2 linked regions of the Caenorhabditis elegans genome follow. The protein of the gene in region 2 purifies or fractionates together with the protein of the main gene of each other region. This does not show direct contact. Each region holds a gene or a part of one and is shown on either strand. Other genes may lie near its edges.

Region 1 (5,143 bases), 1.4 Mb from region 2:
TCCTCAATTTTTTGAGTGTTCTAGTTATTTTGTGAAGATTTGAAAAAATCCAGTTGAATTTATGTAAGAGACTCAATGTAAGCAAAAGCCTAAGCCTAAGCCTAACCATAAGCCTAAGCCTAAACCTAAGCCTAAGCCTAAGCCTAAGCTTAAGCCTAAGCCTACGCCTTAGCTTAAGCCTAAGCCCAAGCCCAAGCCCAAGCCTAAGCCTAAGCCTAAGCCTAAGCCTAAGAATAGGCCTAAGCAAAAAAACAAAAAAAAACAGAAAAATAATCCTCAAAATTCAAATCAAATTTGAAAAAAGGAACATTTAACAAAAATTGTCAATCAAACAGTTCAACATACAAAAATGAGAGAGACAGATCAGGGGAAAAGAGCACACACTCTTGCTCAAAAATCCTACATTTCTCACTCTCTTTTCATCTCCACAAATTTCGCGTTCCATTTCGTCCACTAGGTCAACAAGAAAAAACGTCGACGCACGCAAAAAAATGAGCTCATTTTTTAGTTTTAAACCATACTGGTTTTAAACACAAAAATACTGTTCACAATAATTTCAGCCTTTCAAAAATTTGATCTGTGTACCTACGTTCGCGGGCGCGCGAAAAAAGGACGAGATGGAGATTTTGGGCTCTTTCTCTCGAGAAAAAACAACAGTCTCTGTTTCTATTTGTTTCCTTCTCCTCCTCCTCCTTCTATCCCAAATACCATTTTTCCTGCAAAAAAAAGACGAAAAAAGAGAACAGACGGACATAAGAAGAGCACACACAAAAACGGTACGAGCTCTTGCTGCTGCGAAAGGGAGTTTTTGCGGGGCTGCTTACGATCGAAAAGTGCACATTTCTACAGAGACCATATTGAGACCGGATAAAAACAAATTAAATTTTTATGGAGAAAATTCACGGCGGAAAAGTCGAGGAAAAGCTTGAGCTTGATCACTTTTTGGTCTCGTTGAACTTTTCAAACTTTTTGTTTGCTTTTTAGAGCACAGATTTTTGAACGAAGCCTACTTGCTTTCAGAGATTTCCGGCAAAAAGGTGGAATACAGTCATTTTTAAATTTTGCTTAAATTGTTAGAACAAGAAAAAAAATTTTGTAAAAAATTCCAACAATTTCAAAATTTTTTATGATAAAAAAACGCCTAAATTGAATTTGAATTCCCGCGCAAACAAACCAAAATTTTTTCGTTTTCTGGAAAAATAGTTGTATCCTTTTTTTCTTTTGTAGCCGACTCAAAATATCTTTAAATTCAAAAAGCTAAGCCTAAGCCTTAGAATAAGCCTCAGCCTAAACCTAATACTAAGCCTAAGCCTCAGCCTGAGCCAAAGCCTAACCTTAAGCCTAAAACTAAGCCTAAGCCTAAGCCTAAGCATAAGCATGAGCCTAAAGTAAGCCTATCTATCATTTAAAGCAATATTTCAATTATTTTCAAAACTATATTCTGAACAAAAAACTCCAATAAAAAAGGTACCTGTCTGCCTGCCTCAAGCTTGCGTATCTATTGGGATGTACTTAAAAGCACCTTGCAAGGCAGGCACGTAAGAAGGCAAGCATGACGTTTTTAAAAAAATTATTTATTAAAATGCATTCATTAAAAAATTGAGTAATTTTTTCTCCGTGTTTAGGCAAAACAAAACTAATGAAATTAAAAATGTTTCAAAATTTCAAAATTGTTTTCTAGTTCGAAAAAAGTGCGGAACACTTCTACGAAAAAACACCCCCTGTCCCCTGTCCATAGCCCCCGAATGCATTTCTAACTAGATTTCAAAAATGTTTCTTTTTCACCCTCGTTTGAATGTGTTCCCTATGCAAACCTGTGGATATCTTCCAAATTGTGAAAACATATGATGTGGCAGGAGAGAATTCTGATGGAAGTTCAGTAGATCCGCTGAAAATTGAATTGAATTAGTTATGATTTGCCGAAAATCTGGATGGTCAGGTACATTGGGGGTACGTTTGAACTGGTACATAAAAATGGGAAAGACACGTGGTTTAGAGAAATGACACGATTTTTAAAATGTAGAAAATTACTTTCAAAGTCACCATCAAAAGTGAATGGAAATAAATCGGGGCTCCATGAGCAGTCTGCAGAAAATTTTTCATTTTTTAGGGTTAGGTTTAGGCTTAGACTCAGGCTTAGGCCCAGGCTTTAGTTTAGGCTTAGACTTAGACTTAGGCTTAGGCCTAGGCTTAGGCATAGGCTTAGGCTTAGGCTTAGGCTAAGGCTTATGCTCAAGCTTAGGCTAAGGAATATGCTTGAACTTTGGTTTAGGTTTAGGCTTATGCTTAGGCTTAGTCTTAGGGTCAGGCTTAGGCTTGGATTTGGGCCTAGGCTTACTAGGCTCACTCGGGAATATATTGACTTAGAAGTACGATAAAAGTTTATCTTCTTTTTGTACGGGTAGATGAAGTAATTGGCTACTAGAGTCTAAAATAATATCTTACCGACGACCTTCGGAAGACCTGGGCTCAGGTTCAGGCTTGGATTTGGACCTAGACATGGGATTTTTCTTAGGCTTTGTCTAAAGTTCAGTTCTTTGATTTAAGCATAGGCGCAGGCTCAATCTCAGTTTTAAGTTTTCTGCTATCAAAATTGATCGCATTTTCTATTCTTTGAAGATACAGAAATTGAATTTAAATGAAATTTTCGAAACAAAAGCTTTGATAAATCTACCTTGATTAAAATGCGGAAACGGGTTTGTCGATGAAGCAGCAGTTGCCGAGTCAATGGAGTGTTGCGACAAAGCCATATTCAAATTAGTGATCGAATGATGTGCTGGTGTGGATCCAGTTGATCCGGTCACATTGTCCGAGTTGGCACCGTCCGTTGAGTCAGTGCCGTCGGTTGACCGACTTGATGATCTCACTGAAACTTTAACTTTATTTTTTATGATCAGTTTCTTGAAATAATCAAATCCTCACAGTTTGTTCCAACACCAAAATGGGTGGTAGATCCGGAGCCAGTGGTGGTTCCAGCTATTCCAGAGTCCACTGGAGAGTTGAATGCCGAATCTAGAACAGTTTGATCCATTGCGTTGAAGAAGTTGGCTTGATCCTCGCGAAGCTGAAAGGAAAGTATATATTTCTTTATAGATTAAATGCCTAAAACATCTACTTGGATTAATTTTTATTCTCAACTTTGATTATAGCTTATATCTCAGTTGTGGTTTTCTTCGACTAAAAAATAGGCAACTAACAAAATATTCGTAAAATCTTTTTCTACCATTTCCTAGTTAATACAGTAACCCATCGGCTGTAAAATTAAATATTACCTGGCTCCAAAAATTTTGGGAAGACCCATAAAAATTACACGGCCACATTGCTAATAATCTACACTTTGAGAAAAAAAAATACTATAGGAAAAAGTTAATTAACAGAGGTGGGGCCTAAAAACTCATACTCATACCGTAATCGGAAAACACGGCAGGTGGTCTATGTTGATTTTTTTTTGTTTTTGCATAGACTTGGATTTCACAAGTCGAGGAACAACATACTGCACCTGCCCCGAAGTACGGCGGTGAAACTTGGAAAGTGTAGCATTATTGTACCTAACGAATACTTTAATCTAATGAAATTCAAGACAAGAAAAAAATCTCCTAAAACCATGTGACCCAAAGAAGAACTGAAAGATTTCTTATATGCCCTTTGTCTACTCCTTTCGATTCCCTTTTACTCGGTTCCGATTACACGTGCCCACCACCTGCCACGAAACGTTCGAATTCACTTTTTTTCCCGTTTCATTTTAGTCGGTCTCTCCATTTCGAGACACAACTCATAAATATGGAAAAGTGCACAGTGCACACAGCTGTGCAAGTTTTGAAATATGTACAGCAGATTTGAAGAGGGATTGGGGTGAAAGTTAGCGGGTTTTCGTGAAGCCGCCTAAGCAGTTTAGAATACTGTAAAAGGAGCAGGCGAAAAATAGCGTCAAGAATTTGGAAACCTCTTTTTGAGATGTCCTTATCAGGGCTGGGCGGAAATTGCCGGTTTGCCGATTTGCCGAAAATTTTAATTTCCGGCAATTTGCCGGTTGCCGGTTTGCCGGTTTGCCAAAAATTTTCGTTTCAGGCAATTTACCGTCTTGCCGATTTGCCGTAAATTTTGAATTTCGGCAAATTTCAGGTTTGCAGTTTGCCGAACATCTATTTGCCAGAAGTTTTTAGAGGGATTTTTAGTAAGACGGAAACATTGTGACTTTTTGAATTTTTTCCCGTTTTCTTTATATATTTGCATAGAATTTGCTTACTTTTCAGAATAGATGTAGGATGATCATAGGATGCGTATAAATTTGCCGATAAAAATTGAATTTCTGAAATTTTCAAAAAAAAATGTGTGTGCAAAACCACAATTTGCCGAAAATTTTCGGCAAATCGGCAATTTTCCGGTTGCTGATTTGCCGGGCCATTTCTATTCCGGCAATGCTCCGATTTGCCGGAAATAATCGTTTTTCTTTTTGTTAATAATTTCTCATTCTCTCCCCCCAACCTCTACCCCAAACTTCCCCAACTCTCCATACCTACCGTTATCACCAGCACTAGCATGTTTCAAGAAAGTCCCCAAATACATTTTCAGTAGATCGTAAAAACTATAAGGTTTTTACGAGTTGTGCCACCACGCTACCGTACTAGTAGTGATGAAACAACTGATAAAATGTAGAGAGACACTTGTAATATACACTTTAATTGCCCACTGGAGAGCAGTCTGAAACCATATGGAGCCGCCGAACCTAGAGCTCTGATTATTTTATGGTTCAGGTCAAAAATTACAGTGTCTGGAGCCAAGTGAACTATGAATTAGGACTCTGTTGTCTCTAGTCCAAAAATTCAAAAGTTTTTGGCCTGGAAAGAGTAGATTTTTAGACGACAGAGTTTGGAGCAATTCATAATAGAACTTATGTTTATCACAGGTAGGCACCATAGGCTGGCGAGGCAGGCATAGGCAGGCAAACAAACTCACAATATTTCTGCTCCAAATTCGCACAGTTTCAGGTTACCCAAGCCTTGGTTCCAGTATTAGATATTTGATATCTAGTAGGTGTGTCGATTTGATCGAATAGTTTGATTATAGTTCCAATATTTAGTAGGCTCTTTTCAGAAAAGAGTAAAAACGGAGTTGGACTCCAAGGTTCGCTAGGCGAATTGGT
Region 2 (7,684 bases):
AGAAAATCTTTTTTTTACTATTCAAAGAAAAAATGACGGGATTATTCAAATTTTTGGAGCAAATTAGGCCATTTCGAATGACCGGAAAATTTGAAAATTTGATCTATTCAGAAAAATCTTTGAATTTTTTGAATTTTCACTGCATTAAATGCAAAATTTTTGTGAAAATCCTATGGGCTTTTCGCTTCGAGACCCAAAAATTTATAAAAGCAATCAACTTGCAATGCATTGGATGCGAAATTGAAGTTTTTCAGTTTTGAATTCAAATTTCTTTCTCAATAGAGCAAGACAAACATATTAAATATTTTTAAAAAATTGGAAAATGGAAAAAAAAATTATATTTAAATTATCTAATTGGGGGCGGGGCCGTGGGCGTTGGTTTTGGAACCGAACTGTGTTTAGACTCCCATTATATGAGAGCTTGGCATTGGTTTTTGAAAAACCGCCGGAAAAATGGGGGGTTTTTTGAAAACTAGACAAAAAAGTGATAGGAAGAGAAGGAAATTATATGACTCCGAGCGAAGGGGGCGGGAATTTAAATTTAAATTCAAATTCCCGCCTTGTGGGGTACAATAGAGCGTGTTTAGAATGAGAGAATTTTCGAAAACTAATGAGAATCACAGGAAACCGACCAGCGGGAGGTGTTGCAAAGATCACGAGGAAAACAAAAAATATGGAAATCCGAGCTTCAAGATTCCGGGAGCTCACCCTTCATTTTTTCGATTATCGCCGCCCATGCTTCCGGTGGAATTGGTGGCTGAAAAAAATCGATAATCAAAAAATGTTATTGTTCAAATGCAAAGTTTTATGGTTTTTGGTCTCGACATGACTGAAATAATTTGAAGAAAAAAGGGTATGCGTCTTTAAAATTACAGTAACCGTGTTGTATTGCTACTTTTTCACATTTTTTCTCTTTTACTACATTTTGCATATCGTTCACAAAAATGAAAAAACGGGAAAAAATCGAAGAAAATTGAAAAGCTGCAAGGTGGGAAGACTACTGTACGTACTCTTTAAAGGCGCACAGCATTTTTGATTTAAATTTTTTCATTTTTAATTCGTGTCGAGACCAGGTACGGTATTTTTGCATTAAAAGTAACGAACAATTTAAATGTGCCTACCCTTTCTTCCTCCTTAAAAGCACCTGAAGAACTGGACGGTTGTTCATCGAATTCCGATTCTTGAGGGGGCGGAGAGTTGCCCGGCGAGCTTATCGGACTATGCAAATCAGCTGGATCACATGGTCGTTTTCTACTTTTTGCATAGTTATATCCAGCATCTTTGACAATTTGTCGAGCCAACGGAAACAGCTCATCCCGTCGTGTCAAAAGAGACGGAACGAGAAGACATAGCTGAGCAGCTGCTTCATTTACAGTTGTCTCATGAAGTGTCAAAACTTTATGGGGCTTCCGTTTAGTGTCAAAACGTCCGTAAATTGCAGAATACTTGCGAAACGCGTGGATCATTGATGGAGTTGCTGGAGAGCATTTGAGGAGTTCTATGACTTCTCTGAAATTTCAAAAAATTATAAAATAGTCTGAATCCATTCTGACTCACTTTGAAACTCGTTTCTTATTCTGCACCAACCTCGGCGGAAGTGGCGGGAGATTCTTGGAAGCCGCCAGAGCACACTCAGCGAGACGGGATATTTGAGCAGTTGATAGAGTCGGATTTTCAGTTAGTGATGGATTATCTGGAAAATTAATTTTAACATTGAAGTTTTTCTTTTATAAAAGCTTTCACAGCAGTGTTTCTTTTCAGGTAAACTATGACATGGCACCTTTTCTATACTGTAAGATTACTGTAGGATTATTGTAGTTTCAGAAAAACTGAGTTATTTTTATGGAGACGGATATGGGCGAGGCAATCTTGTAAAACTGTAGGTTACTGTAGGAGTACTGTAGGACTATTGATTTTTTTTAGAAAACTGAGCTTTGGGTTTTTGAAAGATCGGTGAGTTGAGGTTAGTGAAAAGGTTACTGTAGTAGCATTTAATAGACTTTTCAAAAAAACAATTTTTTTTTGTCTTTTGACACTTTTTTTTACCAAGTCCTACTATGATTATTTTCGGCTAGAGCATAAACTTTAGAAAAACGAACTTGGATCAAAATCTCCCAATGAAACGAAATCATTGCCATATGGTTGTGAATAACCAACACCTAAAAAAGGAGAGGACGACCCCTCTTTTTCTTGGCCGGTGATGGACGATGATCGTCCAAATGAAGTGGATGGTTGTTGAATGGATGTGCTAGATGGAGGGACGACGAGGTGGCGTGTAACGCTTGCTGCACCACTAAAATTGAGGCCAATGCTGTTTCCGGAGAATACGTTGGCGGTGGCTCTCGATGATGGTGGCGGAACTGCGGCGGAGACATTGGTGGTGGTGGCGGGGAGGATTCCAGCAGGGAGCTCAGGGTGGGATGTGTTTGAGCTGGTTGAGGGGAGCACGCTTCGAACAGATGAGGTGGATGATGACTGTTGATCAGAGGCCAGAGACTCGAGTAGAGGAGTGGAGAACTTGAACGCTGAAATTTTGGGATTCGTTGAGTTGAGGGAATATTCAAAAATCGCTTAAAATCATGAATGGGACAGTATAAGCACAAGTATAACACAAACTGAGTATGCTAATCTACGCGCTGAATATAGTGCATTGATGAAGCCTTGGAGTCGGTGCTAACTTAATTTCGATCTTTGTAACACATGTTGGTAATTGAAGCGGTACAATTAGTTCAATTTAGAAAAAAACAAAAAAAAACTCAAAAATGTGAACCATTATTTTACTATTTCATAACAAATATCTCAAAAACTTAAAATAAAGAACTAAAAACAAAAATTGTGCATTATGGACATGCGTGTGCTACCAAACGCCCAGCGACAAAGACTAACCCAACGGTACCGAATTCGACGATGTCGTGTTCAGATTCAGTGACGGAGACGATGATGACGTGTCTGCTGCTTCGGATGGTGTCGAAACTTTTTCAGCAACTGACGACAGCTGACTCAAAAATCGGAGACTCGGGAATTTCGGCGACGTGGCAGCGGCGATTCCGGGTAGCAGAAGAGCCATCGGATCAGTACCCGCAGGTGTGTAGTTCAGTGGTGGTGGTGGACCGATTTGTTGAAGAGCTGCCAGGTTGAATGCAGTCTGATCCTGACTATACTCAGCAAGTGCTCTCTGCATCCGCCGGACATGAAGAGGCTTCGGAAGCATTCCCACAAGATTCATAATTTCCAGAAATTCTCTCTCCTCGCATGCCATGATCTGATTGATATCGTCGCCACCTGAAACAAATTTACCTTATAATAGAAAATTCACAAAGAAGAATCCTTACCTTGTGCTATGAAAACATCATAGTACTGAACTAAATTCGCTTTGCTCAGTACAGCCAACAATTGCCACTCGGATAGAGTCGTTGGTGTCGGCATCGGTTTGGGAGAACTAAAAAATTTCATAAATACTTTCCCTTATCACCAGAAATCGATAAAAATGATTGACTTACACAGGGCGATCTGCATTGCTGGTTGATTGACGTTGTGATGATGATGATGAAGAGGTGGGTATTGATGAAGTGGATTGAGTTGTAAGAGATGATAAAATTGATGGAGAAGATGAAGACGAGCTAAGTATGGACTCCAAGTGATGTGCTAGAATTTTACTAATTTTTCTGATGTCCTGATCGTCGGGACTTACATGCTGATGGTCTTGATGTGATCGACGAAGTCGTTGTTGACGCAGATGATGTGGGTAACGACGACGACGACGATGATGACATGATGCCTTCTGAAGGCACACAAGTTGAGGTACGCTCCCAATCCAGATCGACGGAAGGGCAGCGGCTATCGAATAGCCTCAGTATCCTGAAAATGAGTTGTTGAATATGAGATTCTGGAGTCTACTACAGAACTAGTACTTTTTGTCTCAAAGCAAAGGAGATTCAGGAGAAACTTTTCGGCAACAACTCGGTAAAATATAAAAAAAAGCTGTTGATAGGCAGTTGCTAGGTAATTTTTTTAACATCAAAATGTCGTTGGAAAGTTGCAAAAGTTCGACAGGAAGTTGTAAACTGTCAAAGTTTTACAGGACGCTGCCTCCAAAACCTCCGAGCCAAGTTGGTATATATTATTTTTATAATCAACTACAGAAAACACACTGATTGTATGCTTAAAGAGAAAATATCAAACAATTATTAGAAGGTACGTGTAAACTACTAGAAATTAAATATTGTAAGCTGATTTATATTTTTCCCAGAATGAAAATTAATTGAAAAATGCTGAACTACTGTATTAACTGCTTTACAACACTGTAGGTTCCCTATCGAAGTCATAAAAAAGGTTTGCAAAAAAGGTTAGAATAGAGTGAAGAAGAGAAGAAAATGGGAACATATCGACACAGAAAAGAGAGTGGTATGGCCCCCGATCCCTGTTCAAAAAACCCCAGCGTCCGCCTATCTACATCCCTGACGAAATAGTGTCTTAAACTAAGAGTGCACCCATACATCTAACTATAGGTCAAAAAAACTCGGCGGCGCGCCCGGACGCAAACGACGACACAAGAAACATAGAAAAACCGGCAAACCATTGGGCGAGAAAAAGCGTTTAAAACATAGAGACACAGAGACAATCCTACAAAAAACGTCTCTCGCCACTGGGCTTCTTCGGTCGTTCGGACGCGGGACGGACCGGGAGGTGAGAATGGAGAAATAGGAGGGAGGGAATAGTACGGGAATCGGGGGAGATTTAGAGAGAAAAAGAACCGATGAAAAAACCAAAGAGGCGTCGTTCGATTATTATTTGAAATGTTCGGTTTACTATGCGAACGATTGAGGTGACTGTGTGTGTGTATACACAGGATGGGCTTGGGAGGAACGGGACAAAAAAGTGACCTTTGTTGACAAGTGGATGTCTGGGGATACGAAAGTTCAAAATTTACAGTAATCGGGGTCAGACTTCAGAGAGATTTTGGTAGCTTATCTCCTATATCTATTAACTTCTGACTAACAGAAATACTTTCAAGTTTTGGTGTTTCTTACCGATATGATAAAATATTTAGGCGGATAGTTTTCTTCCTGTTTGGACAAATAGATGTCTAGAAGCTATAAGAGCATACTAATCAAAACTCAAGCTCCTCCTCCTTCTTCCAATTCAGCTGTTCTCATCCAACAGTACCACCATCTGTTTGACCTCTTCTTCACCTCGTTCCATCGCTTTTTCCAACTGAAAAACCGCTCCGAAAACGTCCTTTTCGAGGCTGGCGCGCGCACGCTCATTCTTCTAGCAAAAAAAGCCCCCATGAAATTGTCTGCACATGTCCATGAATTGATGAAAATAGTGTAGACATGGGAGGAGATGCGCGCAGTATGAGGTGAACAGAAAAAAAATTGGGAAGCGATGAAGGGAGAGAAGGTCGACGACGAACAGGCGGATGGGACACAACGGGGAATAGGTGGGAGGTTCGAGAAAAAAATGGGAGAAATGGAGAAAATAGACATAAAGTGAAGAGTGACATTCATAACTAATAATCTAGAAGTTACAGTATCTCCCAACGGACGAAACTAGTGATCTCCGGCAATTCTGGAAACTGTCCGAGCTCGGTCGATTCGGCAAGTACTACATCAGGGGTGTGCGTCAAATTCGCCGAGTTTGTCGTTTGCCGAATTTGCCGAGCCGACAAATTTTAAAAATGTGGATTAGCTGATTTTGCCAAATTTGCCGTGCTCGGCAAATACTAAAAAAGTCCATTGTCAAATTTGCCACACTCCTGACACGGAGGCCTTATAGTTAGTTTCTGAACTCTAGACCTCCTAGTCAAACAAATCAAAACTAAGGCTTTGGTGGAAGGCAGGCGCGTTTTCAGATCCTGGTGCATGCCTGAGACCTGCCTGCCTTCCGTTCTTTTCTCATTTCAGTCAATTTGATAGTTAAAAAAAGAAAAAACTAAAAACCTTACCTGATACAGTTCTAACTCCGCAGACGACGAAAACGGGATGACGTGGTTCTCTACCGACGAAACCATTCAGCCCGTGTCTCCGAATATCATTCGCGTCTGGCGCCGCACAAGGTCCGGGCACGACCGGGTCAGGAGGCTGTGGAACAGTGAGGCCGGGGTCTATAATAAAAAAGTGGTTGGATAGAGGTGGAGGTGATAACTGATAATATGCAACGCTAGAAAAAAAGGAAAAAAATTAAGAGAACATAGGTCAACTGGAGGGGGGAACACGCGTGCGTTGAAAAAAAAGCAAAGGCATTGAGAAATCGAGAGGAACAGAGGAACAGACAGAGCCAGAATAGTGCAGCCACACTCTATATTCTCTCTGCAATCTCTCATCTTCTCCATACTATTTCTCATTCAGTGATATCAGCAGTGGCGCGGCGTCTTCTCAGCGGCGGTGGTACCGGTCGCGGACACCCAGGGCAGAATTGCCCGGGGGGGCGCAAGTGACCCCCACAGACCACGGGGGGACGCATGAGGGAAAAAATGGCTGGCACTGCCTGGGGGCGACGGCAGTGTTGCTGCACAAAAAGTGCGTCTACACTCTCTTCGCTTTACTTGCTCTTTCTGCACTTTTTCTGCTGCCCTCGGCCGCGTCCATTTTTTGTGTGTTACTGGCAGCGGTACCAGTCCGGTGCCGACCCAAGGAGCCCAAAGGTCTCTGGAAGAGCAATTGATATGATCAGAAGCAGTGGAAGGCATGAAGAGCAGTTGAAGAAGGGGGATTCAAGTTGGTGTTTGGGATAGTGAGACTTTTTTTAAACCGCTGAATCACTGGAGAAGTACTACATGAGTACTGTAGACTGTATATGTGATGTTGTATATGTTATTGATATGAGTACTGTTGAGTACAGTAAGGCCGCAAAATTATTTTGAAACTCATCTTATTCGATTTTTTTTTCAGAATTCACCAAAACAAATGTGTGGTGGAATTCAATAATGTTCGTAACTTCAAAAGAGGATTTTATCAAAAGTTGCCAAATATATTTTGTTAAAAGCGTTTTTTCGGCGAAAAGGTTGCTGAAATACTTGTATTCTAAAAATCATTAGTATAATTTGAACATGTTTTCAAACAAAAGTATAATTCGTTACAGTAATGCCAAGATTGAATCCTGGAAAACACCTTCTTTCATAAAAATGAAAATTTTGAAAAATGGTTTTTACTGATTCGTAGAACAAAATTGTAAGCAGATGGCGTGGTTCTTGAAACTTCTGGATTAATCCATCTGAAAAAATTCCGACTGATGATTTTGATAATGTGTTGTTTGATCAAAAAACGAAATGGAACTGATGCTTTAGGATTTTTCTAATTTCATCTCACTGCAAAATATACAGAATCTATTGTATTTGGAGTAGTAAACAATTTGATTGTTATAGTTTTTACAAAAAAATATTTTGAAAATTCTGGAAAGTTGGTAACTAAGAGTTTCTTCACAGTTTTATCTTCAGAAACTTTGAGGGCTCATCGTGAGATTGGTTCTGGAAACTCGTATTTAGAAGTTCATAAACTTGTGGGATGTTGATATGTTTGCATGGCAGAATGCAAGAGGATTTGGTGGAATTGAGGTATGTATCAACACGTTTTTTAAAATAAAATCAAAACATTTTCAGACAAAATGTTAGTTTTCAGACAGCATAACTTCCATGTTATGTACCTACCTTCTTCTGACGTATCAAATTCTACTATTCAATTGT

The links.
Region 1: the proteins of mab-10 (region 2) and lin-29 purify together in Caenorhabditis elegans (affinity purification with western blotting, with the first as the bait; one study listed by BioGRID). This does not show direct contact.

The regions. Positions count from the first base shown.
Region 1 is NC_003280.10:11,930,194-11,935,336, forward strand, and holds the start of lin-29 (C2H2-type domain-containing protein), read right to left. Parts: upstream 3,032-5,143; coding exon 2,923-3,031; intron 2,873-2,922; coding exon 2,675-2,872; intron 1,889-2,674; coding exon 1,815-1,888; intron 1-1,814. UniProt on the Caenorhabditis elegans protein: Transcription factor which regulates the expression of various genes, including those involved in cuticle synthesis and maintenance, such as collagens, and in lipid metabolism.
Region 2 is NC_003280.10:10,526,511-10,534,194, reverse strand, and holds the start of mab-10 (NAB transcription cofactor mab-10), read right to left. Parts: upstream 6,112-7,684; 5' UTR 5,948-6,111; intron 4,823-5,947; exon of another isoform or gene 4,397-4,822; intron 3,859-4,396; 5' UTR 3,774-3,858; coding exon 3,692-3,773; intron 3,646-3,691; coding exon 3,501-3,645; intron 3,440-3,500; coding exon 3,333-3,439; intron 3,283-3,332; coding exon 2,887-3,282; intron 2,526-2,886; coding exon 2,100-2,525; intron 1,694-2,099; coding exon 1,558-1,693; intron 1,510-1,557; coding exon 1,122-1,509; intron 758-1,121; coding exon 689-757; 3' UTR 1-688. UniProt on the Caenorhabditis elegans protein: Transcriptional cofactor. Heterochronic protein, involved in timing of a subset of differentiation events during the larval-to-adult transition.